Linked DNA regions of Schizosaccharomyces pombe. Changing the gene in region 1 together with any one later gene gives a genetic interaction. Each region holds a gene or a part of one and is shown in the gene's direction. Other genes may lie near its edges.

Evidence for each region.
Region 2: mutations in wdr7 (region 1) and spf1 together harm fitness more than expected from each alone (negative genetic interaction), as found in Schizosaccharomyces pombe (2 studies listed by BioGRID).
Region 3: mutations in wdr7 (region 1) and rhn1 together harm fitness more than expected from each alone (negative genetic interaction), as found in Schizosaccharomyces pombe (2 studies listed by BioGRID).
Region 4: mutations in wdr7 (region 1) and sac12 together harm fitness more than expected from each alone (negative genetic interaction), as found in Schizosaccharomyces pombe (2 studies listed by BioGRID).

What each region holds. Positions count from the first base shown.
Region 1 is NC_003423.3:2,267,230-2,276,971, reverse strand, and holds wdr7 (WDR7-like protein), read left to right. Parts: upstream 1-3,719; 5' UTR 3,720-3,777; intron 3,778-4,014; 5' UTR 4,015-4,195; coding exon 4,196-4,461; intron 4,462-4,541; coding exon 4,542-5,654; exon of another isoform or gene 5,655-5,697; coding exon 5,698-7,399; 3' UTR 7,400-7,404; downstream 7,405-9,742. Other genes in the region: SPOM_SPBC16H5.12C (uncharacterized protein), read right to left, coding at 265-2,191, 2,251-2,362, 2,671-2,833, 2,888-2,899; SPOM_SPBC16H5.14C (DHRS family dehydrogenase), read right to left, coding at 7,405-7,739, 7,794-7,924, 7,976-8,370; imidazoleglycerol-phosphate dehydratase His5, read left to right, coding at 9,656-9,742.
Region 2 is NC_003421.2:361,922-369,617, reverse strand, and holds spf1 (Set1C PHD finger subunit Spf1), read left to right. Parts: upstream 1-4,135; 5' UTR 4,136-4,139; coding exon 4,140-5,414; 3' UTR 5,415-5,858; downstream 5,859-7,696. Other genes in the region: bouquet formation protein Bqt3, read left to right, coding at 623-778, 828-1,439; vsl1 (SNARE protein Vam7), read left to right, coding at 2,629-2,664, 2,701-3,690; SPOM_SPCC594.04C (steroid oxidoreductase superfamily protein), read left to right, coding at 5,885-6,919. UniProt on the Schizosaccharomyces pombe protein: The Set1 complex specifically methylates 'Lys-4' of histone H3.
Region 3 is NC_003423.3:1,031,892-1,039,000, forward strand, and holds rhn1 (RNA polymerase II transcription termination factor), read left to right. Parts: upstream 1-3,630; 5' UTR 3,631-3,646; coding exon 3,647-3,794; exon of another isoform or gene 3,795-3,842; coding exon 3,843-3,943; exon of another isoform or gene 3,944-4,011; coding exon 4,012-4,206; intron 4,207-4,253; coding exon 4,254-4,973; downstream 4,974-7,109. Other genes in the region: coatomer beta subunit Sec26, read right to left, coding at 1-47; serine/threonine protein kinase Ppk27, read left to right, coding at 5,186-5,891, 5,959-6,494; chaperonin-containing T-complex theta subunit Cct8, read right to left, coding at 6,656-7,109.
Region 4 is NC_003424.3:2,059,467-2,067,492, reverse strand, and holds sac12 (inositol polyphosphate phosphatase), read left to right. Parts: upstream 1-3,710; 5' UTR 3,711-3,851; coding exon 3,852-5,687; 3' UTR 5,688-5,920; downstream 5,921-8,026. Other genes in the region: rad55 (DNA recombination mediator, RecA family ATPase Rad55/Rhp55), read left to right, coding at 1-825; eisosome BAR domain-containing protein Pil2, read left to right, coding at 1,489-2,640; fpb26 (fructose-2,6-bisphosphate 2-phosphatase), read left to right, coding at 7,016-8,026.

The sequences.
Region 1 (9,742 bases):
TTCTAAACAAAGTCGATATGAAAGAAAGTAAAGTAAGCACCCTTTTGTCAATGACAACCGAATTCGAAAAAGATATCTTAAAAGAGTCATATCAGTTATTTTGGCTTCGCAGTTATTGAGGTAAATGAGTGCGTCAGATAAATTTCATGAAAACTTCATCATTCATGAGGTAAACTTTTGCATTAACATCAGTAAAAAGGTGAAAAGATGGTATAAAAATCAGTTCTAAAACAGCATTGAAAACAGTGCAAAAAATATTCATCATTAACCATGGGTAGTAGGTTCAGCGCTTTGTTTATTGACACTTCCACCGCTTTGTAATGGACGAGGATGCTGCATTCTGTTCATTCGGCCGCCTCGTCCACGTCCACGATTGGTACGCATTCCAGTTCCATGTCCCTCCATCCGGTTATTTCGATACCATCCTCTATTTTGACGATAGTACGAATCATCACGCATGATATTCACCCGCACACCTTCTGGAACTTTGATGCTTCCAAGGGCCTTTGAAACAGCATTCTGGTTTTCAACAAATACATATGCATAGTTAGTGGGGTTTACGTTTTGAGGAGCTTGGGGACTTTTGTAACGATTGAGTGAAGTACGAATTTGAATATTCGTAATCAGGCTGTCTGTCCCGTCCTTAAAGTAAGAACGGGCTTCCTCTTCAGAATTGCAAGGGGTAATATGAAATCCACAACGTTCATAACGCTGCTCACCACTATATTGACGGAATTCACGATCGTTGCCCTTCTGCATATCAGTTCTTCTACCTTCTTGTGCTTGAGATCTTGTAACATTTGCAGCATTCTCTTGTTCAAGTATGGTAACCTCTGTAGTCGTCTCACCTAGCTCGAGATTTCCAGTACCCTTAGTCACCTCTTCAACGTCAACTTCCTCTTTCCCTCCAATTGCTGGTTGTTCTTCTTCATTAGGACTAGGCTTCTCTGCTACGCCAGAAATGGGTTCTTCCTCGGCAGCAGGTGGTCCCGACTTCTCTTCGATTACTTCATGAGTCTCAGCCGACTCTTCTGTAGTATTCGCTCTTGACATTCCTAGCTCATCAGTATGTTCCTGATCGTACCCTTCAATCTGTTCTTCTTCGGTTGGTGTAGCCGTAGCTTCTCTGTTCTTGGTAAACTGTGCTTGAGATTCCACCAACCTATTGTTAGCGTAATAATAGGTACCGGTATTTTCCGAAGTTGAGCGTGGAATGTGAGATGCATAATTTTCGTTACGACGTGAAGCCATGCGACGATAGCCTAAATTAAAGCCATGAGATTTGCTTTCCACTTGAACATGCCCATTTTCGACGACAAAAACAGTCCATCCAAAGGAAGCATCTAATAAATTGAAGTTCCATAGGTTTTTAAAAGCAGTGCCGGGAAGCATGTTATTCATAGCATATGAGTTAGTTGCATCGGGCATGCGAGAGACTAGGCGAACAACATTGTTTATTAGATGATGTTGTTCAGGGGTAACCATCTTCTCAACCTCAGCCTTAACAGTGTCATACACTTCCATAAACTGTGCACGGGCAGCCGAAAGTTTTTGAAGATAATGTTCAGGACTATGATTTACGCAAAACTCATTGTAGCTAGCTCCATAACGAAAATGAAGACCGGCGGATAAAGTCAGGTCAGCCTGGCAAGCAGTAGCTAATTGAGAAAGAACACCTTCTCTTCCAATGGGATGATGCGTAATAAAAATACGTGCCTCCTCTCTGTCAAGCAGGCTCTTAGCGGTTTCTATTAGTTCACCCATTTGAAGGATTGTAGTCCACATAGTACCCTGGCCACCAGCAATAGTTCCTTTACCGTCTCCATTGTCAAAAAGCTTAAAAGGGACATAAGGACCTCCAAGACCAAGTAAACGGATTTTCATATCTCCAATTTGCAATAGGTAGGAATGAAGTTCGTCCACTATGTTAAGGTTTGGAATAGAATATTCTCCAGAACGAAATTTTTCCAAAACGTGCACATCTTCGCAAGCTCCCCATACTACATATACAGGGACTGAGAATTTCTTCTCTTGTGACAAAAATTGAGGTAATTCTGAAAGCAGGCAATCGGGGTGAGAAGCAATACTATTCTTCAAATCCCCAATTGGATTCGAGGGATAATAATCAAAGTTTTTGGACCTAGGAAGCTTTTTTATGAGAGGCGAGAATTGGACAATGTGACGAAGAGTACTGAAAAAAGGTTAGAACAAAGAAAAATGAAACATAAAAATTTTTGACACAAAACATACCGTTCAGATATGCTAGGAAGTGAGGATCGCTCAAAAAATCCAAAGTCACCAGTGTGGATGACACAGGAGGCATTGGTTTCCTCAACCAGGCTATTTATTAAACTCAGTTCACCTGAAGGGATAGTTATTAGTAAAAACGCGTATTAAAGAGTAGTAATTTTAAGGATAGGAATAGCTAAGGAGAATAAAGTGTATGGACAAAATTCTTTTACGAACCAACGAGGATCTTTAATGACAAAATGAGTAAATTGAGCAATTGCGCTTCAACTCCTGCTAAGCCATTATGGATAAGTTCATGCAAAAGCATACAAATTCGCATCTTCTTATCTTAAAAAGTAAAACGATCGTCGATAATTCCCCCGATGGGGTGCTTTTGAATTCTCGCTGGCAGCTCTAAATCCATAAACAACGCATACTTACCTCGAACATCGGCAATACATAAGATCCTGGATTTATTATCCAATGTGAGTACTTGAGCTGAAACATCCAACGTGGAATTATTCTCGGAATCTGAGTACGTTTTAGAGGATTTATTTTCCAGCGTCCCAGTTGAAGGTTCCGCTTGAATATCACTTTTAGCCGTCTTTTATGTAATTAGTTTAAAATTTTTGCAAAGATTCATTAGATCTATACTTACATCCACGCTCATTATATCGTAAAAATCTAATGAAACGGATAAAACAGTAAATGGTGTTGAGTAAGGGTTTTGTGATGATGCCTCAGTTTCGGCACTGTACTACTTCCTACTACAATAAGAGAATGTTGCTTCGTAATGTTATAACTTAGATCCACCACAAACGAAGTAAAGTAAATTAAATATATAAATACACAAAAAGCAGCAGTTAATAGATAGTTTTTGAAATTTTTAACGTGACAATTGTATTTCTGTAGTATAAAACTCCACAAAAAATAAAAATAAAAATAAAATTTAGTATATATTAATATATATATTTATATATAAATATGAAAAAAAAAGGTGCTTCAATGAAGGATTACAAAATTCTTGAGAAAGCTCGGTAATCGGGACGGCAGAGTTTATTAGGGTATATGTTAAATGTTGCAGCTTTGGAATGGAATTGTTAACTTATTTTACACATACTATGACTTAAGTTTGCCTCGTGTACAGTAGATGATGCTACAGTCTGAAGTATATTTCAATTTCGTTATATCGTTTTTCCAGGTTGAGATTTGAATACTAGTTGCAGTGCGAAATTTACAACATTTGAAGTATGTAAATGTTCTGTTTATTTGGCAAATTGAATAAAATAAGACTGTTAGCAATTTTTTCGGTTTTTTTCTATGTACAACAATACTCTTTTGTGTTATTAAATAATGCTCGTTTACTATAACTTAAACTCGTTTGTACGCTGTATTCTTACTACTAAGTATTGTCAAGATTTGGAAGCAAGGGCATCGCCCCATCAACTAGGTCATATAGTATTCGCGTGCTTCAAGTAGCACAGCAGCACATTCCCACCACCGAGTGGAATTCGAAGTTGTGTGCAGTGGTATAAATTTTGGAGAAGTGTAAGTTGTATATAATTCAAGAATGAAGAGATTTATGTAATGATTGATACAATCGGAGCTGTCGATGCATACATTCTATTAAATGACGGATGGACGAATTGTTTACATGGCTATTTGTTAGACATTCTTGTCTATGGCTGTTGCAAGTTCTTCATTTTTCTTAGATTCTCTTCCTCAAATACTTGTTGCATCTTGTTTATTCGTTTGCGTTCCGAATTTGCTAATTTTACATTCAAGAATATCGCGGCAACTGTTAGTCTGCCTAAATATTGTTTTAATTTCATTTTCTGCGTTTTCAATTACTTTTATATTTAAAAAGGTTTAACAATTACTGAATTGAGTGGTTATTTGGGAAGCCGTGTTCGAACAGCGTTCAAAATTGATGTCAGCCTTAGACCGTTGTTGATTGCGAATCAAAATGGATTGGGTTGCATTGTCGAAAAGCTGTAAAACTCATTTGTTAGATGAAGGCCTTGACGTGTCTTCAATACATTGTTTTGATCAGTATTTGATAGTAGGCCAATGTTCCGGCCAAGTCATGGTATTTGACGTTTCTACAGACAATCATTTCACTTTGATCCAAACATTTATAGCACACAAACATTCCGTTTCTTCTATAGTTTGCCTTCCATTTGAAGCTGATGGAATTGTAGACCTATCAATCATTACACTCGACGAATCTGGGTATGTTGAGCAACTCTCATTAGCCGAGCAGCAATTATCAAATTCATTATTTAACTTATTTCTTGCTAACATTTTCTCAGATTACTTTGTCAATGGCTACTGAAAACATGTGACCGACGAGCTACTTTGCAATTGTGTGACGGGCTATGTTTAAAGCTATTTAGATTAAATAACAACTTTCTTGCTGTTACCGGAACCTTTTTGAAAATATATCTCATTAGAATCTCCAACTTTCAGATAGTTGCGACTTGGACTGGTCATGAGGACTGGCCTATTTTGTTTCCGTTCAAAGACGAAGCTTTATTAATCCCTGTCGCCTATTCAGATGGATCTGTATCTCTTTGGTCAGTTGATTGGTCAGCTCTTACTTTTAAAAGAAATTCAGTTACAAAAGCAGATGTTAAACCAACTTTTGGTAAGGTTATTGATGTTGTACCAGCAGATTGCATTTCTTCCAATTATGCGCTATATGTATACTCGGATGCGGTAGTACTATTGGAATCGCATGAGAAATTTATAGCTTCATATTCACTTGCAGAGATAACATCTGTATTTGTTTTGGCTGATGGCACGGCTTGTATTTTTACTCTTTCGTCTTCAACTTTACTCAAACTTCATCAATCTCCTGAACCTCATTTCGAATTAATTTCTAAGTATTCTGGAGATTTTCCATGGAAATCGTGCACCATTTTAAAAAGTAAACCCGTTAGTTTGTGTGTTTATCCCGAAAAAATAACTTTCAATTGGTTAACAGAAGGAACCGTAGACTCATGCAATCTTTGTAAGTTGAGCAATACAGCTGCTGTTTCCTACGCTTATACGGACTCTCTTAATTTATTCCTTGGAACAACCTCTGGTTTAGTGATGTTTTCTTTGTTTGACTGGTACCTTCACAATGATCCAGCTCCTCTTTACTCTTTTACAAGGGTTTCTGGAATTGTAACATATATGAAAATATTTGAAACTGAACATTCACGCTCAATTTTAGTTGTTGCTACCAAAACTGGAAAGGCTTACTTTTATCAACAACTTCAGGGTGAAAGATGGAGATTTCTCTGCGAGCGTGCTTTGCAATCTTCTTCAATTACTAAAATTATTCATGCAAAGAAATCATTATCTTCTGGTTCATCAGGCTTATTTATTTTTATGAGTTTAGATGGCTCATTGTGTGCCTTGGATGAATCTTATAATCTGTAAGTTATCAGTGTGTTATCAGTTATTAATCGACTTTTATAGTCTAAGCTACTTGCCATCTGATGGTGCTCAAGTTGAAACTTTGTACTCATTTCCCGATTTAGATCAAATCTATGTTGCTTATGACAATTTTCAACTATTAAATTGGGACGTTGTGGATCAAAAATGTTCTGAAGGAAATTATTCAGATATTATTGACTCTTCGTTCATATCTATTGGTACTTTTGATAAATCTAACCTCCCTACTTTGTATCATGGTTCTTGTGCTTTACTCACCGATAATTTGGTTACTGTTTTTTTAGACGCTCATGATTTAGTACTGAACCTCAATTTTTCTAATGAAAATTACATAGAAAAAACGTATATTGACGAGTTCCTTGACTTTATCCAACCTCCTTTCCTAAACTCTGATATAGAGATGGAGCATCAGTTGTTAGGTACTGTTTTTGATCAATCCAGTTTGCATCTTGGTGTGGGTAAGCCAGATGGAAATGCCATACTTCGATTTGACACCGAAATGAAGTCAATAATAAATACTGCACCAAATTGTTCCGCTTTGCTGTTATATCTATATTTTTCTCTAATGGTTCCTTTATGTAAATATGATGGGCTGAGCGATACCAAATTGACTGAAGGAATATTATTAAAGTTAAAAGACCTGAAAACGGTTGATTACAGTATTTCCGTTCTTTCATACGTCTGGAATAATTCAGGCAAGGTTATGCAGGGTATAATTAAATCAATGTTGTCGAGAACATTGGAACTTATATCTCCAGAGGAACTTCAGAGGCTTATATATTATTATTTTGAGTTTTTTACGACTACAGGTGGAGAGTACTATCTGAAAAAGGAGGTGCAACATTCACTGTACATCTTGTCATTAATTGTCAGTTTACGGCCTTCAGCATTTGATGTTTCACAATTGAAATTTTTGTCTTCCTATTTATTACAAAAATCCGAAAGTATGGACTATGACTTAACAGCAATTCGCCTGTTGAGTAATGGTTTTTCCGTGTTTTCAAAACATATTGATCCTGCAAAGTTTATATACAACCTGGTTTTGTCATCCTTAGAGAATACTAAGGATTTGGATGATAAAAATAGCATTCTCTATAGATCAATAGTGGATGTCTCAGTTTCGAATGCTGTTTTACTGCTTACATGTTTATGCGATGAAGTTTATGAGCAAATGAAATCAAATTTACGTTCCGTTATACTAAAAGTTGTGTCTTTGGCAATTGAAAACACACAATCCGAATTTTCTTTATTTAATCAATTGATCACGGAAAAATTACTTCCAATCCTTTACTCTAGCCGCTCGGTTGAAGAAGTTCACGACGTTACTAACGCAATTGCAACCCAATTTCCATTTGCATGTTTTGATAGTAAGGTGGAAAAATATTCCTACATTGACGATGGTGATCTTGTGGTTTATGAAATAGCTAAAAGAAGGAAAGTCGTCAGCAAGGAAAACGCCGAATGTGATATTCAGGTATTGTCCGCCAGTCCTTCTGGTGACTATTTTGTTGGAGTCAGTGCTACGCAAAAGGAATGCATTATTTGGAAATACAGCCAAGATTTCGTAAAATTCTTGAACTTATCAACACCTTCATTAACGATCCGAAAACGTATATTATTACAAACTAACAAAACGAATGAGGTTGAAATTCCTGAAGTCCTATGGATTAGCCAGTCATCAGCAGAAGTCCATATTGGGAGCACCTTTGCTATCATTGACTTGTAGGTGGATTATGAATAAATTTTATCCATGCCACTAAATAGACGAGCCAATTTTTGTATTGGAAGTGGGAAAAACCTCAGTAGAGGCATAAAACGTGCGTAAAATGGATAGTAAAAACGACCCGATTTGTTTGTATATAAGTTTTGAATAATAATTTTTGCTAAGTTTTGAGGTTCTAGTAGAGGGGCTAATACTCTGTTTGGGGTATCTTTTTCGAACATTGTAGATTTAATTTGCCCTAAAACATAAAGAGAAAACTTGAAGTTGGGATGCTGTGATAAAACCTCTTCCTCTAATGTTTCATGTAGCGAAACTAGTGCCGCTTTTGAAGATGAATAGGCACCTGTTAATCACGTTAGAAAGGAAAAGCAAATTTTATAAAATCAACCCCACTTACCGACTCCCATCGCACTAAAATAAGCCAAGGAGGATGCTATGTTGACCACATGAGGATTTGGATCTTGTAAAAGGAGAGGAAATAATGCAGATGTAATTGCCAGCTGTCCGATCACATTTGTTTCAAAGCATCTAAATTAAGCAGTTAGAAAATAAGGCTTACTACGCTTAACCTGTACTTACTTTTGTAATTCTTGTCTTGATATAGACAGCAAATGATTTTTTGGAGCAATAGCTGCAGCATTGATCAGAGCAAAAGGGGTCCTGTTCATCTTTTTCAAAGAATGGACACATCCTTCTACGTCCTTATCTTTGGTAATATTACATTTCAAAGCACTAAATTTAGAATTGTACTGTAGAAAAGATGCAGGCTCAGTACTGTCCAAAGAGGCGACGCTGAAGCCTCTATCCAACGCCTCTTGAATAATAGCATGACCAAGAATCCCACTTCCTCCTGTTATCACAATCAGTCCTTTAGCACATGAATAGGATTGTTTCCTGAAAAGTAGAGGAAACCAAGAAAGGGTTAAGGCAGCACAAACAAGCGAAATCACCAATAATAATATATGATTCAACATCAGGGAATGACTTCTGTGAAAAATATGATAAGTTGCTGAATGGAAACTTGGCAGAAAGTCGTTAACATTAGCAGCGAACTCTTTTGTGTTTCGAATAAGTTAACGTCCAAGTTCTGATCGTCTAAAGACCCTAATATCGTATTTGACGAAGTCAAGGAGAGAACCTTAGTAGATGCTGCCAAACAAAAGCTATTTCCTAGTGTAAGCAAAAATCACGCGTAGTAGAATAATTCATTAAATCGTTGAACACTGCTTTTATAAACTTATATAATAAAGTTTTGATCAGTATCGCCAATGTTGTATTGAACTTGTTAACTAAATTATTCAATCCGTACTACGAAAAATGGAATGCCCATCCTGATCTTAACTTGATTAGTCTTATAGAGTCAAAGATAAGTGATGGTTTTTTTTTTAAAATATTACGCCTATCATAAAAAGAAGCATTAAAAAATGCGATTAAGAATTGCGTCTTCAATTTCCTTATATATTGAAACATAGTACACACTATACCTTCCCTTCATCTTCGACTAGTTGTTTTTAAAATATTTGAAAGTTTGAGCGTGCTCAGTTTTCTATGTTGCATATAGATCAAAGGAACATATGTATGTTAGTAAATATCATTGCATTCAACTATGCTATTAATTAATGTTTATTAAATGATCCCAACGCATGTTGATGTTGTATTTTGCATTTGGTAACCCGCAGTTGGAATTTTCAGGCATCTACGTACAAAGTAAATAAAGTGCAAAAGGGTCAGCTCATTAGTTTTACGGGTCCTCAATTCGATGTTGCAGATTTTACAAGTTTTTAAAATGTATTTCATTATTACTTTTTATATGCCTAATAAAAAAGCCATAGTTTAATCTATAGATAACTTTTTTTCCAGTGCACTAACGGACGTTACATTCCCATACAAAACTGCGTAGTTAAAGCTAAGGAAAAGTTAATATCATGTTAATTAAATACGCTATTTACAATAAGACATTGAACTCATTTATATCGTTGAATATGAATAACCAATTTCAGCGAATTTTTAACAAACATCGTTCACCTCGTTTAAGGATATCTTGTGTATGGGGTGTTGACTTGCTTTATCGAATAATTACCGTACCTGTAATTGGCTTGCTGGATATAGCGGTAGTCTAATATCTAGCAAAAATCTTTTGGGTGAAAAGGCTTGCAATTTCACGACACCGAACTATTTGTCATTTTTTAATAAGGAAGTTTTCCATAAATTCCTGTAATTCTCGGTTGATCTAATTGAAAAGAGTAGTTTTGCATCACGATGAGGAGGGCTTTTGTAGAAAGAAATACGAACGAAACGAAAATCAGCGTTGCCATCGCTTTGGACAAAGCTCCCTTACCTGAAGAG
Region 2 (7,696 bases), on another chromosome or scaffold:
AAAAATCACCTTTTTACTTCAGTTTGATTTTAATCGTTGCATATACGTAAAGTAATGTACTTAGAAAAATTTAAGTCCATAATATATGTCGCTAATTTCCCCTTTTTTCTTTTTTAAAAAAGAATAAAATAAAAAAAAAGGTACTAGTAAATTAGCAGTATAAGGTTTTTTGGATTATTATTTACGATCATTTAAGTTAATGAACCAACTCCATGAATAAGTTAAAATTATTTTAATAAAGTGAAAATAAAGGTAATGTTTTTTTTTTTTAGGGATAATTCAAAACACATAATTATTCATGGTAATAAAGGCATCGGTCATTCTTTGTTTTTATATTTCATTTTGTACCCATTTTATGCTTAAAATCCCACGGTTCTAATGTTTGCACGGAGAACACTTTCTTGCAAACTAATCCTAGAGATTTAATAACACGGAATTTCAAGAAAAATATAATTTTGGTTTTCCATAGACTTACTACCTAAATTCAAAGGATCCTGGTTTCCTGCTGATTCATTATTTACCATTTCACAGACTCCATTGTTTGAAGATACTGTTACCTGATCAATCGTTACTTGTGTGTTCATCGATGACAAACTATATGAAAACTACCAATATTCGCAAAATGTCAGGATCGAAGTGCTGTTCGTCTTCAAACACCATAAAGGTGTCCATTTACCTATTTTTACACACGTTAACTTATGGCTTGCTAAATTATCACCTCAATCCACGATTATTAGCTTCCACGGGGGTGGTGGAAAGTGATATTCCTTACTGGATGGTATGCAGATCATTATATAAGTTTAGATTTACTAACAATGGATTGAAAGAGTTATTTATCAATTATTATGCACGTTGGTCAATCTCTTCTGTTGCAGAAATTCAACCTAGGTTATGGATGGCTTTTACTTACGAAATATCCAGTATACGTGCTTCTCTCGACCTACTACCTTACTCCTTTGAGTCAAATTGCTTGGGCATTCATAATTGACGCCATTTCTTTGCTAGTGGCGCGCTGTTTCTCTAGAGCTAACCCCATCAAATGTTCAAACCAAGTCAACACACAGTATAGTGTCTCTTTCCTATTCACAATTATGGCGAGTGTATTGATCAGCGTGCTTAATTATATATCACAAAAGATATTCTTAAACGGTCTTATTCTTGGAAACTCCCATAACGTTGTTACTAGTCTCGTTGCCCCTCCGCTCCCGTTACAATATCTTGCCCATGTACCAATTGGTTACGTTATTCAAAGAGTCGTGTTTAGTGAAAGGCCTATTCCCCAATCATTATTTTTGATGATTTTCCTTACTCTGTGGAATTGCTTTATTCCTTATTCAATTTTGTTTTCAATGAATTGGTCCGCCATGTTCCAAGTGGTGGGTGCTTACTTGTCACAAATTTGGATTATCACTTTTATCTGCTGGGCATTGTCTCTGTAAAGTTCGAGTTCTGTTTCTTTTACATCATTTTTTTTCTTGTAATGTAGTTAGTTGGTTGTTTACTTCCTGGTGGAAGTTCTCATGGGCTTATCTTAATTCATTGTATCTGTTATGGGATTTTCCAAATTTGTCTATATGTCTTTACTCGTGTTCAATAATTTCAGTGAGGTAACGTCAAACTTTTTTCATCAGGTTAATGCCCTTTTTCTTCTCTTTTTCATTTTTCGTTTTCACGGTGGAATTTATTTCTGATGAAGGAGGCAGATTTCTTCTTTCTGAGTTGAACATCATGTGTGGAACTGACTATGAATATATGTAATTTAATGACTGTGGTTTCAAATTGATTCCGAACTCTTTTAAAAGATATCCATTGTGGGATGTTTCGTCCTTTATTCTCATCTATTAGGGTCGCATAGTTTGAATTGGATGATCGTTCAAAAGCAGTATATGGTTATACTTTAAGCAAATGTGAGAAGTCTTTTCGCTGTATATTTTTCCCTCTCGTGATATGAAAAAACAGTTGTTAAGTTCCACTAGTACTATTATATATCATCTGTGGGGCCTTTATATTTACATGACATGTATTTTAAGTGAAAAATCTTTATGCATATCAGAGTACTGTTGTTATTTGGAATCTACCTATACTTACACTTTTGCATAATGTTACGATCTGGCGTTTATTCTGTGCTTTTAATACTTTAGGCAAGTCGCGCTTGCAACCAATCCATGTAGGAAAATATAGAAAATAAACAATTTCTGTTTATTACTAAGCTTCGTTAAGATTTTGCCGTTCTTCTGTTTAGGTATTGTAATTACTTGTAAGTTGCACCGTTCACGAGTGCCAAAAAAAATACTCAATAATCTGACTATAAAGTGTTTAAAGGTATAAGATAATATACTAACCTAATTCATTATTTTAATTTCTAAATCTATTGCAAACTGGTAAACTTTCTTTCAATACCTGCCAATTCGATAATCGTAAAGGCATCTCGCGCATCAAGGAAAACATGAGGTTTAAAGGATCTAAAGCATCATGAAACTGAAATTTATCTTTATTCAACTAATAGAACCTATACTATTTGAAAGCTCAAATTCTACATTATACAGTTTTATAACGATAGTGCAGTAAATCCGATACAGTAGTCTGTTGTTCATGAACTCATTGTTGATCAACCTGTTCATAGCAAGTATGGCGCTAAAAATTAAAATACCAGAAACGTCTCAAGTAAGCTTTATTCCTTTAATTTTTACTTACAACTAGTCTTCTGATGAATATTCACGATGGACGGTTTACCATATTGAAGTAGCATTTCCGAATGGTGGGAAACATGTTGTATTTCGTCGGTTCAATGAATTCGTTGCTTTGGATGCTCAAATTCGGCCAAATGACTACAACAGTAGACTTTGCAAACTCCCCTCTAAATCTTGGGTTTCTTCAACTGTGACAAATGAAAAGTTACGTGAATCTCGACGACTTGCTTTACAAGCTTACGTTCAATGCCTTTCAGAAACGCCATGGATAAAAATGCCTGTGGTTAAAAAATTTCTAAATATTAAAGATGAATCGGAAGATGAAACACAGGGTCAGTTTTTGGGTCCGACAGATTGGATTCAAGTATTTCAAGATTGTAAACGTAATTTACATATGTACCGAGTTGACTTAATGAGTGGAAAAAGCATTACGATAGGAGTTCAAACAAAGAATGTCTATGCAATAAAGTCGCTAATGGATAACCTTTCAGAATCGTTAGACAAATTAGAATTAGCAAATGCTCTTGGTCCAGGAGAAATCCTTCGACGAAAAGATATGTTAGAACAGCTTGGTTCTGAATTCTTGTCATTTAAACGGTTAGTTAAAAATGCAAACAGCCCAGTCGCTCCTCCTTCTGCCTCATCTCAATTAAACTCTTCTAATCCTAGTTCTCCCTTTCGCCCATTATCTGCATCTACTGACAAACAATCTAATACCTCTTTGAACAGAGTCCTTGGAAAAAACAGAATGCCAGAGACACAGACAACAAAAAAGCTTGATAATGTAGGACTGTACAACATGCAGAATCAAACTATGGAAGATCAAGATATGCAAGCAGAATCGTTATTGCCTATTATTCAAAGGCAGAAGGAGCTTTCGAAAATGATTAATCAAGAAGTTGTCGAGCAAAACTCCATGTTAGACGAGCTTTCTAATGAAGCATATGCAAACCAAAAAAAGCTACACAGAACACGAGCTGGCCTTCGCAAATTGGGTTAATATTTGGGTGTTTATGAGTATTTGATTTAATTTCACGAAATTTAATGGAATCTTCTTTTGCAGTTTTGTCTTGTTTTCTATCCAATTCTGCTACATTAGTGATTGTCTTGGATGAGATTATCTGGGCTAAAAATATTTATTATTTGGTGTATTTGCGTTCTTTCCTTTTTTTTTTTTTTTGTTTAATCTTCTTGAAGATACCGCAGTAACCTCTGTGAGTTATATAGGCATGGTTAGTTCGTCCGTCAAGGTTGAAATAATTGTCTCCTTTAATTAAGCTTGATATTAATATACGACTTGTTTAAATTTCAACTTGTTTTGACAGACCCCATTTCTTTTGTATTTTGGTTTGGCTTGTAGTTCCTTTTAATGCATTTAGTGTACTGTGCTTAAGCTCGCTTTCTTTAGATTTTACTTATTGACAGACTTAGACAACTGAAATTCCAATAATGGAATTAACGCAAGAGAATACTGAGGAAAATGAAAAAACTCATGTAGAATCAATTGTAAAATTTGAGGATTCGAATAGAGGCACCATTACTGATTTTCATATCGAGACAGCTAACAATGAGGAAGAGAAAGACGCCAACGTAATTCTCAATAAATCTGTTAAAATGGAGGTTGAAGAAGTCAACGGTCACGTTGATTCTTCCTCAACGGAAACAGACATAGAAATGCAAGTCATTCAACAGCCTACAATACCCAAAAAACCACCCGTATCAGCTCATAGAAGGGGTCCACGAAAACACCGAGGAAATGCGAATAGCCAACTCAATCTGTCTACAGCCGATCATCAAAGACCATTGTATTGTATATGCCAAAAGCCTGATGATGGATCATGGATGTTAGGATGTGATGGTTGCGAAGATTGGTTTCATGGCACTTGCGTTAATATACCTGAATCTTATAATGATTTAACTGTACAGTACTTTTGTCCTAAATGCACAGAAGAAGGAAAGGGTATAACTACTTGGAAAAGAAAATGCCGGTTACGAGAATGCTCGAATCCCACAAGACCTAATTCCAACTATTGTAGTGATAAACATGGAGTCGATTTTTTTCGAGAAAAAGTAAAGCTGAGTACGGTTGAACCTTCTGCTATAAAAAATCTTGTATTGTTTGCAAAAAAAAGGGAAGAATTTCAAAATTTGGGTACGGTGGGACCGACATTGCCAAGCCAAGTTCCTCCTGAAGTTGTGTACAATTTTGAAATTGAGGAGGCCAATAGGCTGAACGCAGAAATTGTGCAATTAAATAAAGAGAAAGAAGTAGCATCTAACAAAAAAATATTTCTTCAGTTGATCAAAGATTCTTCGCGGAGAGCGGTTCTTGCTTACAAAGAAAGAGAAGGTATTAAGAAAGATCTGTGTGGATTCGATTCTCGACTTTTATTCAATCAACAACAAATGAATGAATTGTGGGAAAAAGTTTCAAATGGAGCACCGCTATCTCTTGACATGAGTATAGATCCTTCTCCTGAGTCCACCTGCTTTACAGAGAAGCGAAGATGTGCAAAGCACACAAGCTGGCAGGTAATTTTTACCGAAGATTTTGAGTTGCAAGAAAGTAATATTTTACAAAAACTAAACATGAAGCAAACTGCCAAAGATGTAATGTTGGAGCATCAAAAACAGAGGTGCCTACCCGGGATACAATACGACGGTTATGCTCGATTTTGTCATGAACAGTTATCTCCCGAAAAAATGGCTAATTTATTAAAATAAACAGAAGGATGCATCTTTTGGTTTAATTTACAATTTTGAAGTTTGCTTTAATTTCTAGATCATTTCATGTAAATCACGAGGCATTGATTCGCAAATGTTAATGAAAGAAAAGTTTATATTGCTTGGCATTTGTCTCTTAATTTTGGCTTTAAATTTATTGACTCCCTGTTTCGCAAAATAATGTTGACAGATGGTAATTTGGTTTTTCCTTCTAAAAAGTCACTTTTTAACATAAGGACATACATTCTACACCCTCTCTTTTTATCAACTCATGTCTTAATGGCCTTGAGGTTTTCTCTCTCTTTTGTTTTGAAATTTATTTTATTTTATTTTTTGGAAAACGCAGGCTCCTTGGATTTCACTAATCCTTCTTATTCCAGAAGCTAACGTCACAATGAGACAGAGGATTTCGTGGAGCTATAGAAAGCCAACTTTCTGACATTCCCATTGTTCTTTTTCAAACGAGCACTATGACTTTGGCATCCACCATGCCAATTATTTATTCGGCATCTGATGCCGCAAAATGGAAAGTTGCAGTATCTCCTTACCTGTATCAACTGAGCAATTTGAAGTTACTGTTTACTGGAAAGTTGAATTTTGCAGATTTTTATTATAATACGAATCCATTTGTTGTAGGACTACTTCTCTCATTTATTTTGGGAAATGTGCTTTGGGGAGTGTCTGTTTGGACGAAAAATACATCGCAAGTGGATCGGCTATGGCCAATTCTGCCAACGGCTTTTTCCTTGCATTTTCTGTTTTATGGTTTGGGATACAACATTGCTTCGCGAAGATTAATGATTATGGCATTTTTGCAGACTCTATGGTCCGCGCGTCTTACTTACAATTATTACCGTAAAGGAGGTTATAATCGAGGAGCAGAGGACTATCGTTGGGTGAGAGTTCGCCAAATCATGCCTAAATGGATATATCCATTATTCCACTATTTTTACATTCATATCTTTCAAGTGCTCCACCTATATTTGCTTGCATCTCCCACGTATATTGCCATGTTGGCTGGAAACGAACGAGCATTTGGAGCATGGGATTGGATAGCACTCGAGCTTTTCATGTTTATGTTTGTGCTAGAAATGCTAGCCGACCAACAGCAATGGGATTACTATGAAGCGCGAAATCATTACAATGTCGACAAAACCGTGCCACCTCGGTTTAAGTATGACTTGTTGTCGCTTGGACGTGGTTTCAATGCTACAGGGCTCTTCCGATGGAGTCGCCATCCCAACTTTTTAGCAGAACAACTTATTTGGCTTTCATTTTATCTATTTGGAGCGATCGCTTCAGAATCACTATTGAATTGGACGATTTTTGCATGGCTTGGACTAGTGGGCGTTTTTCAAGGCTCGACCAGACTTACCGAAAAGATGTCCTGTGAAAAATATCCGTTATATCGAGTGTATCAAGATAAAGTCGGCCGCTTTTTTCCTCGATTAGATGGTAGTCATTGGGATATTGTGGATGACGATGCATCATTAAAGGAGGATTAATGGAGAAACAAAATGTTCCTCTATTAGTGATCCATGGATCTCGTTTCATTTTCATTTGTCAATTGGTGTAACAAAACCTTTTGACGTTTTACCCCCTCTCTAAAATTTGGTTCACTGTAATTTATTTATGTATTATTATCTTGTGTATCTATCTTAGTCTATTTATCCAATGTTTTGTCGATGAGTTATGCAAGCTTTATTTATGCAACTGATCCGTGAATTTTTTTCCATGCTGATTTGTGAATTCTTCATCCATGTTATAATATGTGGTGGCTTTGTTTATAGTATTGCTAATGTCTATTAGGACACAGAACAGAAAAAAAAATTTGTTTTTATTTTTTGAAACAATCCATTTTATGAAATCTCAAACTCAACTGAACTTCGTCTCTTTGTCTTCAAACTATGTGCGGCCTTCAAACCATCTATCAAAAGTGTTTGCTTCCTTAAACTGAATGTTAAATTTTTTTAAAATCTTATCTTTTCACTGTGGAGAAAAAGAGGGAGGGAAAAGGGAGGCGAAACCAACCCAATTCTTTTCCGTAAACTCATTCATTCACTGGAACGTACATCCGTAAATTCATTCAAGTGTTTATTATTATTTTCTTTTTTTCATTTGTCTTTGTTTTTCTGACATTTTTCTCTACCATTTTCTTCTGTGCATCCGCCAGTTGCTTGGTTCCTAAGCACCACCTATCATGTGAATATTTTCTCACACACACAGTACAATTCCTTCTCTGTTATCTTGGCTGCTTTATCTGTGTAACATGGTTTACCATT
Region 3 (7,109 bases), 1.2 Mb from region 1:
GATGGAGCTTCTAAAAAATCCTGTTGAACAAGTGTCCAACAAGACATATTTGCTGCTTAAGGTATGGTGACGGCAAAACCAACCTGATGTTTGTTGAAAGCAGGTGTTGTATAGCCAAGGTAGAAAGCTTAGAGGGGTGGTAAACATAAATTTTATCAGCTGCAAAAATTATATATATAGATAAACTAATAAAAAACTAATTTATTCTTTCAAATTCTTATTTTGAATGAAATCGAAAATCATATATCTCAGTGCCTACACATACAATAATTTGTATACTGTATGTTTCAACTTGCACAGATACTTCTATTAACACATCGCTGTACTTTTAGTGTACTGCATTAAAAAGCACTGTTAGTTGCAGAAATGATTGCAAAACCAGAGGAAACAGACAAGCACTTACTATAATATTTGTAAGGATAAAACAGTTTCTATTAAATTAAAAGGACCAAATGAGGGAGAAAATTTATACAGCATATTAGGGCACATTAATATGAAGACGCCCAAGAAATATATAAGTGAACAGACATTTGATTCGATCTATATTTTTGCGTCCGCAAAATCTTAAAAAAAGTACTTTAAGTATACTTGATGTGTATCTTTTATAGGAATCGTGTATTTTTACTAGTGACTTAAAGTTTATCATCAGTTGCAACTCATACTAGCGTATGGCGCTTTACAATAAAAGAAGGTGATTAATTTGTTATAGGGTCAATTTTATATGGCAGTTGAAGTTTTCACTGGTGAAGTGAACTACCCTTCTAGATATTGCAAATATACGTCTTTCACTTTAGAAGCTTTAGGATAGAAGGTATCAATTGACATCTAATTATATAAAGCATCAATTTCATTAAAAAACGTTTAACACCGAATCATAAAACATCAAAGAGAAAACATACAATAAAATATCAAAGTATCAATAAAAAGCGAATAAGAAAGCAAGATATTTGAATAAAAACATAAATTCAATGGAACTGATGAAATTCATATTCAGTACTCGCTTTTGACCATAAGCCTACTGTATCACGAAGTCGCTTTTTCAACTTAATAGTCTCAGCAGGACTAAACGTTATACCGTATCCCTTAAGATATTGGACACACTGTTCCTTTGACAATTCGTCAATGTCTTCGACTCTTTCTATCGGCGGTAATCCACTACTAACCGGCTCATTACCATTCAGAAATGGTACTGGTGACGCCAAATAACCTTGGTCTGAACGAGTTGCATTTTCAAGCTTTCTTGTCAACATGATCGACCTACATGAGCGAGCATCAATTGTTTCCATTTTCTGATCCATTGAGTCAAGTCGCTGCTCCATAGAGTCAAATCGTTGGTCAATAGAATTAAATCGCTGCTCTATTGACTGAAACCTTGCTTCAGTTTTTTGTTCGAGTAAATCAATTCTAGTGTTCAAACGGATCGTTTCCCTTTTCATTTCAACCATTTCAACTTTCATTTCGGCCATTTCGCCTTTCATAGATGTCATCTCATTCTGCATAGCGTCAAACCGAGAATTCATGTCATTTTGCATTGAGTCCATTTTAGAAAATATTCGTTCGAAAATTCCACCTAGTTTAGTGTTTGCCCATTCATCTATCCAGCGTGGAAATTGTACTTCTCCCGATTGTTCTTCAGAAATTTCCCTTTCAATCGCTAACTTTTTCCATCCTTGTAGCCTTTCATTGCATTCAATTTCATATTTCATTTTACGATCTCATTCCTCAATATATTTTTTTCAAGTGCTTCTCTTTTGTTTTCGTCAATTTCTAACAATGTAGAATCTACAGATCTCTCGTATCTTTCAATGAAAATTTTTAAATCTTCCGCAGAATCATTTGGTGGTGGCAGATTGTAGTCATTATCAAAATTCTCGTTCGACATCATCCTTATTATTTATACAAAACCAGTTGCAATAAACCGCAGTATTCTTTTTAACGATAAAATTTCAATTCACTATAACTATACAAATGATATCTTTTGTAGCCTGCCTTATATGTTTACTAATTGACAAATATTTCTCAGAAAGGGAAATCTTGGAAAATAAAAGTACAAACGTGTGTTGAAAGCAATATTTAATATATGTGTTGTAAGTAAATTCAAATCTCTCAAGTTCCCCTTATATACAACTTTAAACAAAGAATGCTAAGGACAAAGAAAAGAGTTTTTGATGGATTAAGAAACAAGGTAACCTAAGTAACTTCACACTGGGAGTACGTGATACAGATAATGAAAATGGGCTTTATCTGTAAAATAAAAGAAAAATGGCTTATTTGCAGGTAACTTATTACAAAGTTAGATTTATTGAATAGAGGAGTATTTGTTTAAAAACAAACTTCGATTGCAAACATGCATAACAAAGTTAATAGAAAAACATTTCTTTATCCTGCTTTATTGTATTCCTCTTAAGGGATTCTCAACAGCTCTAAATAATCACGAAATATTTAAAGAAAAGGTATATTACTCATTCAAGCTATTAATTGTAAATAATATAACCCATAGCTACAACAAATGCGTTAAGAGGATATAATGTTAGCTACGCAAGTATTTAATTTAACGATACGTAGAACTACGGTGTTTTCCTAGTGATCTATTATATTGTAATTCGCAAGTAATATATAAGTAGCAATTGAGATTGGTATTCTAATATATGGGTTATATTGTTGAATAGATGAATGAGCAAATACAAGACTTGAAAAGTCCTTCAATGATATATTTCTGGTATAGAGTGTTGGCGAAACGACATGAATTCTGAGTTTGACGCTACGCAGAATGAGATTGCATCCATTAAGTTGAAATAACTACTATGAAAGGTGAAATGACTATCATTGGCAGAAAATGAACATTAGTTTTATACGTTGACATTCTTACGGCACTTTTTATTTACAATTTTGCTTACTACTAGTCATCCCGTTTTAACTTTGTTCTTAGGAGTTAATTTATTTTACTTTATTCATTTATTTTTTTATTTTTTTTGAAACTCGTATTATCGTTCAATTTCAGAACATCTTTACTGCTTTGCCTGCCCGGTTGACAAATAAATACGATTTCAAACGAACAATTAGTTTATTATATAATTTTTTACGTAAGTATATGCCATAGTTTATAGTAATACAAGGGAAGCAAAAACAAAGTCTCAATGCGGTGAGTAGTATATAGTAATTCCTGCTTCAGACAAGTCATTAAAACACACATTTGCACTCCGTACACATTTCTCAACACGCCGAATAGTTTCTTTTCATAATCCCCAACATATAACATCACAAGATTTCGTCTAGCATTCTTACCAAAACTCGTACTGTAAATGTTACAGTGAGTGATAGCCGTTAGCTAAGATGACCTGCTGAGACTAAACAAAATCATGAGAAAACGAATAATGTATTTTATATACCTAATATTTAAGAGGGAATCTTGGAGAAAACTGGGTAGTTTGAGAATAATAAATGTTCTTTTCCATCTTTACAAATGAGACGAAGATTTTTGCTCTACCCAAACTAATTAATCTGTTGTTTCAAAATCATTTTAAGTATAGGCTATAATGTAAAACATTGATATTATACAAGAAGTATTTATTACTTATGCTTATGATTTCGTTTGCGATGCTAACAGCAGTGTGTCGTAAGAAACTCACCATCAGCATAAAACAAGATGGCTTTGACTCCAGACACTGTTTCTTCAAAGTTGGCTACTCTAAATGAAACACAAGAAAGTATAACGGGAATAGCGCATTGGGTTATGTTTCACAAGCGTTATGCTGATGAAATTGTCCAAATATGGCTGGAAGCTTTGTATGAATGTATGACTCCTTTAGGAATTTGTTCGATTGTCTAACTAATTTAACCAGCTTCTTCCAACAAAAAGCTTTTATTGCTTTACCTGCTCAACGAAGTCGTTCAACAATCCCGGGTCAAAAAAATATCTGAATATATTGATGCCGTTTCTCCAGTAAGTTACTATCATTATGAGCTTGGAACATCTCCTATATGGTTTAGATTCTAATAATATTTGCATAGTATGTCGTAAACTCTGTAGCTGACGCGTACGCGTCAGTTCCTGCTTCCATTAAAACAAAAATCAAATACGTTTTTGACGTTTGGTGTCAACGCGGCATATTTTCTAAGGAGATACTTTTATCCTTGCAGGAAAGGTTTAATAATGCCGAGAACAGTGGCCATTCTAACTATTACCCCGTTGGCCCTCCGGAATGGGTATGCCGCAATTCAAATAAAATATCAGAACTTTACTAATTGCATAGGCACCTTACACTCGTTTAATGACACAAACTAGTTTATACGCAAAATCTGCTCACTCTACCAAAACTGTGGTAGATGCATTGTATAAATCATACTTGGAGAAACAATCAGATTATTCTGAACTACTCGATAATTATAAAAAGCAACTAAATAAAGCCTCTGAATCATGTAAAGGTAATTATCAGGCTTGCATCGAATCCCGATCCACACTCATTACTTCCTTGGAATCGCTTATAGAAGAACAAAAAAAGCTACTTTCAGAGGAAGAAGAGAGCCTAAAATCTGTTGAATCCATAATTTCTAATTTAGAGAATAAGGAAAGTACAACAGCTACCTCTACCTTGACCGATGCAGGTTTTGGAGATAAAAGTTCTACTGCTGGCAAACATAATGTAGAAACAACATCACCTCCGTCTAGTTCTCCAAACAGTGATGATGCTTATTCTCCTCAAGTAGATTCTTACTCTCCAAGCATTAACAGCGTACCATATACTTCCAATATTGTCGAAAATCCATCTGAAGACAATCTCTCTCCTCTTCCTCCTCCTGCCAGTGGACCCTATTCCCAAGAAGAAGAAGAAACATCATTATTTAAAAGCCAGAGAAAAGAAGAAAATGAAGAGGAATCTAAAGAATTACCAGAAGACTCAGATATCTATGGAAAAGATAGTTCTCCCTCTTCGGACGACTCTAGTGCAGCTGGTCTATATGGTGATAGCTGAAATCCATGAAATGTAATGCTTAGTTTTCATTATTTTTCTTTTTTTTTTTAAACTGTCAATCAATGTGGCAGTCTTAGTCAATAAGCATTTTTAGAATACCTATCCTAACCTTTTATATGCGTCAGTACCTGACTTCATCCTATCGAAGCCGTTTTTGGAATTTTGTATATTTCGAAGAAAGTTGAGCCCTATCTAGGAAGAATGGGCTTTTAATGTCTGAAAAAAAACATTCTTGCGAAGAAAAATCGCTGCAACTATATCCTCTTTCAAATAAAATTCGTCATGTAAATCCGAATATTTCAGCTCTTCCGTCTGAGACTGATATATCTGAATCATTGACGAACGATTTAACTAAACTAGAAATTTCTAACTATGCTCCATTTAATAGAGATTTAGAGACTTTTTCCGATTTAATTTTTGGCTTAACTAATATACAAAAAAAATCATTGTATTCTCTTCAATTAGGCAGAAGTAGAGGATATGCTTTATATTCAGACGAGAATGAGAAATATTTGTGGTCTATAAATACTAAAATCACCTCTACGGAACAAAGGGAAGTACTGCTTGTCAAATCTAATAATAAGAAGTTTGATACTTCCATCGTCCTAAAACATACTCACTTATCATCCAAGTCTCAAAACGAAAAAAAAGCTAGAGTAAAAGTATTTCGGCAAGAAATTTGGGCCCTCAAAACTTTGTCGCATCCATGTGTTGTGCAGCTATTAAATTACTACGTTTCCTCCGCCGAATTAATACTCGTAGAGAATTATTGTATGGGAGGAGATCTCTATCATTACACTAAAAAACATCATTCGGATTTCAGCCTTGAATTTGTTGGGCGAATTTTTTCTGAGTTAGTACATACAGTTGCTTACCTTCATTCCAAATGTTTGATTCATAGAGATTTAAAACTTGAAAGTAAGCTCGATGAATAAGGATTTTCAACTTTTACAGTTATGATTTTAAACTAACACTTTGTCTTTAGATATATTGCTTACCCAACCTTATAATGTTATAAAGACGATTGATAATTGGAAGAACTACCCAAATGCTTTAATTCAGATTTCTGACTTTGAGCTTTCTATTTTTGTTGACAGTAAAAATCATTTAGTGCAATCCAGCTGCGGCAGCCAAGAATATGCACCACCGGAAGTTTATATGGGTATTGCACATGATGGATTTCGCGCGGACGCTTGGTCTCTCGGAATAGTTTTATTTGCACTATTAGAGGGTCGTCTTCCCTTTGACTCCTACCCAACTTTGGATCCTGAGAATGTAAGGATCAAACGTTATGTTCAAAGGCTTGTAAGATGTGATTATACATGGCACTTATGCAAATCGCCATTCAAAAGATCTACTGGAAATACTAATGATAACGACGATCCTTCATGGCGGTTCCGCTTATTTGTGAAAAAACTTCTCAAAAATAGAGACCAGCGCAGCACACCGACTGAATTGTTAAAAGATTTTAATAAACATGGCAACTTTACTTTACCGTTATTAGAGAACGTTACGATTTAGAGACCTTTAATGATAAATGTCTTACTTCAATGGATTATGTCTGTACCTAATTATTTTGATAACGCGCTTTTAATTTCAATAGAAAATTAGTAGCAGATTTTTACAAAAACTATTCATCGTTTTAATCCAATCCTAGTAGAAAAATGAAACTCACTTAAATTTTAATCATCATCCCAATGAGGGTTGGGGCCAGGTGGTTTTGGACCTCCAGCTGGTTTAGACATAACAACTTGATCAACGTTTAAAACAGTGAGTACAGTTTCAGTTGCTAATCTAATTGCTGATTTTTTTGCTAATAAAACATCAAATATACCAGCTTCTTTCGCATCTAATGTTCCATCATTTTCACATTCAACATCAACTCCAATTGATTCACCGTTTTCCTTATGATGGGCAGCATAAAGTTTGCTAATAACATCAGTAGGATCTAATCCAGCGTTTTCTGAAATAGTCCTAGGAACAACCTCAAATGCTTCTCCATACTGTTTGATTGCATGTTGATATATACCAGGAGTTTTTTCACCAACTGAAATTAGACGAATACAGAGTTGCATATCACTAGCTCCAGCACCAAAGATTAAACGGTTATCTTTGACCAAAGCTTTTACGATATTT
Region 4 (8,026 bases), on another chromosome or scaffold:
TGGGTCGAAACTTGTCAACCAATTCCCATGGAGAGACTTCGTCAACTATTAGACAATCACGTCCCTTCTTCCCAAGATGAAGAGGAAAAATGCGATACTGATGAGTTATTAAATCTTCTCGATGTTGTATATGCACCCAATTTAGTGAATATTCTAGCTTTTTTACGAAATTTCGATCAAGAAAAACATCTTAAAGAAATTGGATTATTAATTATTGACAACCTATCAATGCCTATTCAACTTGCATATCCAACCAGTCCAGAAGATTATGCTTATCTACGTCTTCGTCGTAATACCAGCAAAAAAAGCTCCCTTTCAGATTCATCTCAAAAAGAAAACACTTTGACGTTAAACAAAGAAAATGAGTTCTCGAGTAAAGACGACTCGAATTTTGCATTTCATAACTCCTCTACCAAAACAACAATAAACCGCAGAAAAAAGGCAATCGGTACAATCAGTTCTTTGTTAAGCAAAATTACATCCTCTTGTTATGTGGCTATCTTTGTTACCACCCAGATGACTTCAAAAGTTGTTAGTGGGATAGGTGCTAAGTTGATACCGCTTCTCAGCACTAATTGGTTAGATAATCTATCTTATCGGCTCATTCTTTACAGTAGGCATTCAACTGAAGAATCAAAAGATGGACAGAGTCGTCCCTCTCATCAGCTTCTGCGCTATGCATTCATGGCAAAGCAGCCACCAGCTCATTCTGCAGAATCAGAGTTGGCTTTTCAGTTAACATCTACTGGTATTCAGGATTATCAAAGTATTCCTACCAATAGCTCACAACGACGTAAGAGATCCATTTTGGAATGTGAGTCCTAGGTAAAAATGGTGGCTTCAGTTACGAATTTTTTAGCATAGTGATGGTTGTTTTGCCCATATCTATTAATTTATTATACCTATTCATTACGTTGCATAAACAACTATGAATACTTGTCGAGTGTTGGTCAAAAGTTTCTCAATGATTTATTTGTGATCTCATATCTTTTCATAATGTATCATAAGCTATTTTGTTCGTTCATTTTTATGAAATTGCTAATTGTCATAGAGGAGGGAAATGATTAAGATATCTATATGTTTGCTGATTGACAAGTCCTTATTAATTTTCAATTGTTTAGGTGTCGCATTCAGTGTACGGACAATAATGACATTATGCTTTCGACATATAAATTCCATGTTGACATAGTGACGTCTCAAGCCTAGCTCAAATCTTTAAAACATGGGTTCAAGTCGCTAAAAATCTACCTGAACTTTACAGCTCTTTTGTTACTTTCGAAAGTGTAGTCTAATAAGTCCATTTTGAGCCTGACCTTATTTATACTTCGCTTTGTCTAGTGTGAGTTGGCGGATTAAGTATGTTTTAATGAACATTGTTTCAACCTACCTCTAATTAACATACTAACCTTTTTATTAGTATTTCCTTTCTCTTTTTATATATACATATTTTCAAAGTCTTAAATCGTTTATCAAGTAATTAGCAAGATGATGGGCACTCAACCATCTTACTCTATTCATACGCTTCGCGCGCCTCCTAAAGCGAAACAGAATCAAATTCCTCCCTCTACTACCCGTCGTGCAGTAAATGTTAATAAACTCGGCAGACAATTCCGTTATCCATCTGTGGGTATGTTTACTCCCGAAATGGCTAAACGCCTTGCAGCTCTCGTTAAGATGGAAAAGGATTTACTTCGATCTTATGAAAACGTTGCCATGGAGCGCAAAGAATGTGCCAATCAACTTTCGTATTGGGGTGAAGATTGCGATGATGATATTAGCGATATCAGTGATAAGCTTGGTGTACTTTTATATGAAATTGGCGAACTTGAGGAGCATATGGTAGACAGATACGATCAATATCGTGTTAGTCTGAAGACCATCCGTGATATTGAGGCTAGCGTTCAACCCACCCGTGTTAAGAAAGAAAAGCTACTTAACTCCATTTATGATGTTAGAAGCCGTGATCCTGAGTCCCCAAAGCTTATTACTATGGAACAGGAACTAGTTCGTGAGGAAGCTGCGTGTTTGGTTGCAGAAGCGCAGTTAACTAACATTACCCGCGAAAACTTTAAACGTGCTTTTACTCTTCATATTGGTACATTACTTGAGCATTCTGAAAAGGTTGCTATTCTTTGCGGGTATGCCAAGAAGATCCTCGATCTCCTGGACGATACTCCCATTGTTCCCGGTGAGCCTCGCCCTATTTACGATGGTTACAACATAACCCGTGACTATATTGTTGAGGCTGAACGTGAGTTGGCTAATTGGCAAAATCCTTTCCAAACTCCTGAACCCCTTACCGACATTGATGGTTTGCCTTCTCAAAGTCATTATCAAACACAATTTCAAGCTAGTGTCGTTCCTCGCACAGATGTAATCAATGAACCTCCACGCCGTTACTCTCATGCGAATGGTGTAACTACTTCCGGCACTACACACTCTTACACCTCTACAGGTAGTAAAAGATATTCTCAAATGGGTACAGAAGATTATCAACCTAGTTTTCAACCAAACATTCTTCAAAGCACCCAAGTTGTTGATAACTTTGAAATTGGCGAGGAGGATGATGAAGAAGTAGGATCTCAAGGCGTTGCTGAAACGTCTATGCCTAGCACTAGTGCACAACCTATTGCTGCTTAAGCAAGTCTTGGTGTGTATTCACGCGATTTCTGGTGATCCTTACGCATTCATCAATTGACGTGAATTTTTTGTCATGTCAATTCACATAATTTGCTAGCACGTGTTAAGCACTTGCTATTGCTACATATGCATGCTTATCGAACTAATACTCACGTTACTCTCATTACCATTGTTTTTGTGTCTATGTCGTTTAACCATATTTATTTTCCACCGAGTTTTATGTTTCGCAGATGTTGGTTTCTTAATTATCTTGTTTTTATTTAGTGTTTTTTTTTAATTCCTGCGGTCAAAATTAGGCTTAACAAGGTTGTTGGTTAAAGCAATTAATTAACAATGGAGATTATTTGTGTTGAAAAAGGATTTTATTAAATGTATGATTTTATAATTTTTACTTCTCAATCCGATTTAATAAAATATTTATGTAAAAATTGGCAGTTCGGTTGTATTAGTAAAAAGCAATACAACATAGATAGCAAATTCAACTGGGTCAGATCTTTAGTATATATTATTTAACAACGGTAAAAATATCAATAAAGCTTAATTAAAGCAAAACATATGCTTCCTTTCGAAGAGTTGGTTATCATATAACACCTAACTTTTATAGAAATTATGTATCAAAATATAAAGCGACATTGCCTATATGTTACTTGCAGTCAAAGAAGGCTCGTAAACTATTTTGATTATGCGATAGAGTATGGTATGTTTTCTGTGATATCTGAAAAACGCTACGATGAATTATTAATTATTTTTGCTACTCTCAAAATCAATAATATCATACAGTATTATGATTTTCGTTTGCCTATTCTTCGAATTATAGTTTGTAGTTCAGCCTTAATATAGGTAATTGGGGAGTATCAGCATCACCAGACGACCTATCTTGTAAAGCAAAGGTACAATGAATAGCGATACTTTACGTATCATTACATAGTGCAATGAGAATTGTTAATAATATCATACATTACACTGTCACTGAAAGTTCGTTTTGTAAAACGTGCTGCATAAACCTTCAGGTAACAATGAACTCGTTACTCAGGCGCTGCGTTGGAAATCAAGCCTTCAAAAATCGTTTCATGGACATTAAAGAGTTTGATTTGAATTTTTGTAAATATAGCATTCTCATTTTTTACTTTTGAGACCTAATTTGGAAAATACATTAGTCCGGGGTTCATTATAGCAGAAAAGCATCTACGCTTCTCAAATACAACAAAATAATGAATCAGGACGTTAGAGTATTTCCAGACAGCATTTATCTATCATGTTCCAAAAAAAAAGCTTCTCTTCGAATAGATAGAGTCGACGGATGCCTTAGTTTGAGCAATTCTCTTGATCTCAGCAAGACACCTGACTATAATAACGTTCAGTTATATGGATTTATTCGATTGAAAATATACAAATATGTAGTTCTTGTTACAAGTTGTGATTTGCATGCAGCAATTCTCGGAAACAATATTTATCGGGCAAGGAAATTTGCTATCTTCCCAATTACAAGGACTCTTCCATTCTCCACGGGTCTGCTAAATATTAAAGATGAGGAAGAACTACATTATATCAGTTTGCTCAATAAACATTTGTCAAAAGGCCAAATACTTTTTAGTCCAACGTTAGATCTAACCTGTTCCCTTCAAAGATTACGCGTACTAACCCAATCTTTTGAACTGACATCAAAATATAATTACCGCTTTTTTTGGAATAAATATGCATTTCATGAATTAATTGAATTGACGAATAAGGATTTAGGCTTTCAAGAATGGATTCAACCGATGATTCAGGGTAATATCGCCATTACTAACTCGTTTTTAAAGACTTATAACCTTAGACTGTGTGTTATTACACGACATTCTCCTGACTATGCGGGTACGCGGTATTTCACCAGAGGTGTAAACGCACAAGGAAGTGCTGCTAATTTTAATGAAATTGAACAAATAATAATGATCGAATCACCCATCACCCTTGAAGAACAAATGGTTCTTTCTTTTACTCAAATTCGAGGAAGTATCCCCATGTTCTGGGCCGAAGTTAATGATCTTCATTATCGACCTTTATTATCTTTACAACCTCTTGATTATAGCGAGACTGTGTTTGGGAAGCATTTTCAAGAACTTGCCAACGATTATGGGGACAATCTTGTGGTGGTCAATCTTCTAGACCAAAAAGGACGTGAAGCACCTCTACGGTCTGGGTTTGAAAAATTATGTAAACGAAATAAAAACCCTCCTTTGTCTTATGTTTACTACGATTATCATAAGCAAGGAAGTAGAAATCTCCCTTTGTTTCTTGCTGAAATTCAAAGTCTCTTGATAGAAGGAAAATATTATGCCGAGCATGGATCTAAAACTACTGCAATGCAAACCAACTTTGTAAGGACAAATTGTATGGATTGCTTAGATCGGACGAACGTCATTCAGACTAGCATTGCACAGTTTATTCTAAACATGCAATTACACGATATTGGTGTACTTTCTAGCTCTGAGAGTTTGGAAGAATATGATAGTTTTTTACAAGATTTTCGCTTAATATGGGCTAATACTGGAGATTATATCAGTGATCTCTACACTGGTACCCCGGCCTTAAAAGGCGATGTGACTCGCCATGGAACGAGAACCATTTTTGGAGCTTTCAAAGATTTATTAAACTGCTTTCGTAGATATATTCTTAACAATTTTTTTGACGGTATGCTGCAAGATAGCTATGATTTGGGTCTTGGAGTATTTCGTCCTTACGACTCACTTTCGATTCCGGACTTGCCTTTGCGTTTTCACTGGACTAGATTTGTGGCACCTGGAATTTTTTTGTTCACCACGATAATATTAACTATACAAGAATTATTTGGAAATCCAAGTCTGTTCTGTCGTCTGTTATATTCTATCCCTATGGTGAATGCTGGAATCTACCTATATTTTCATCGTAGACAATACGTTAATTGGCCTCGTCTAGTACTACCAACGTATGCTAAGGGAGGTTGGTTTTCGTTTCGTAATCATTTCCGAAATATTACTCTTAAAGTGTTTCGTTTTTTGCGTTCCGGCTCTTTCAAAAAAAGTGTCTAACTGTGCATTTCAATAACTAAAGAACAGTATTGCTATAACTCTTAATTAGCAGAAAACGCTCTTTGAACACTCGAAGTTCACTCTTTATTTCATTAGACTTCATAGATGTCAATCTTGCTACTGAACAAAGCGATGCTACCCAACTTTATCAAGTGACTAATTCAGATCATTTTACGTGATTGGTAATTGTAACTTTATTTTCTTTAATTGCTCCAAGCTTCCTACCAATATCAATTAGTAATTTAAGATTTTCATAATTGTTAGAGCCCTTAACAAACTATTGTAGTATGGATAACACACGAAAAAAATATAGCAGACAAAATTAATATTTCTAACTTTTATTAAGTCAGTGTTAAATATTGGGCAACTTTGACCATTGAATCACTGAGGCTTTTGACTCAAGTTTTACTCGGTTTTAAACAGTAAATGAAATATATGAAAAAGCCAAGCTTTCTTTCAATTTCATAAGTGTTGTTCATGTTCAATATTTAGGATACATACTTCTTCCAATTTAGGGGCATTCTGGTTTAATATTTTCAATGAACATGTTATAAAAATGAATTTTTTAAAAGATCATACAGTTCAGCAACGTTTTCTAATACTTCCAATCCAGAATCTTAATTCACAATTCACATTACTGAAAAAATGATGAAGTTATGCCTTACCCGACAGTTTTTGTATGAAAACTCCACAATATTACGAAAATGATTATATACACTTTTACAATCAGCTTAGCATAATTATGCTTATAGAAATGGAAATGCTCACACTTAATTTTGAATATTATTTTAATAGTGGATTTAACTACTCCTAGTACCAAGTCAAAGACTTGAGATCACTTAATGTAGCTTACGGAAGCGTAAACATCTCTCGCAATAATACTGCGTAACGAAGACCTGCAATTTAGTATATTAAGCTTGAACTTACACGTATACCCCTCTTGTTTATGTTAGCAGGAGTGCAATGTTCTGAACTTGTATATTTTAAGCCGTTCTGTTAAATATTATTAATTTAATCGTTTTTCTTTTTAAAAATTATAGCTTTTTAACGCATTGACGAGTTCACTACATACTCTAAGGATACTTAACATAAGTACGAGTACTGCAAACCGTCCATCAAGCTCTTCAAGGCGAATCATACATTTCGAGCGAAATACGACTCTTTAACATATATTCATTATTTAACATATTCACTTAATAATTCAACCCGATTCTGGCAGGATTAGCAACCTGGTCATATTCTTATGATTTATTCTTTAATATTTGTTTGCAACATAACCACACCCAAAATTTAAATTAAGAACTAACTTTTTTACATTAAGATCGAACATGAAAGACATTGAAGGACTTTTGGGCCTATGTGTTTGCTTTGTGGGGTTACCCGCATCTGGCAAGACATCTTCTGCAATGAAATTATCCAGATATTTGACATGGATGTCCGTTTCTACTCACCTTTATGATACGAAAGAAATTGATAATTCGTTGTCCGAAAATTCTAACAGTGATTCAGAGAATTTAGCTAAAACTCTTAGCCCCATATTCGATAATCTGGAGAGCGTTTTTAAAAAGGGTACTGATGTTGCGATTCTTGATTTTAACCAATGTACACTAAAGTTTCGGAAAAGTATAGTGGAGTTGGCAAAAGCGCGGAATATGCTCTTAATGTTTGTCGAGGTTGTCTGCACAAATCAAAAAATTATCGATGAAAACATTACTGATATGTGTCAGCATTCACCATATTTCAAAAGCTTTCCGTTCGAAGAATCGAAGAATAAAATCCTTGATAGTATTCATGAGTATGAGAAACACTACACACCTTTGTCCGAGGCTGAAGAATGTACTTTCGTTAGAATTGTGGACTTTGGAGCCGAACTGATAGTTCATAAACTTGAAAATTACCTTGAATCTAGGATTGTTTATTATCTCTCTAATTTGCGTACGCGTCGACGAAGTATTTGGCTAAGCCGACATGGTGAAAGTCAATTTAATGTTGAAGGAAAAATAGGTGGTGACTCAAGCTTAAGTCCTCAAGGACTAAAATATGCTGCTCTTCTTCCTGAATATGTTGCTAAGTTTTCGATAGGTGAAAAAGGACTTACGGTTTGGACATCTTCAATGGCTAGGACTATCCAAACTGCTCGACACCTTAATTGCCAAAAGCTCGAATGGAGAGCACTGGATGAATTAGATGCAGGAACGTGTGATGGTTTTACTTATGATTATATTGAACAGAATTTTCCTCATGAAGCCGAATTGCGAAATAATGATAAATTTCATTACAGATATCGTGGCGGAGAATCTTATATGGACGTAGTAAGGCGGTTAGAGCCGATTATTATG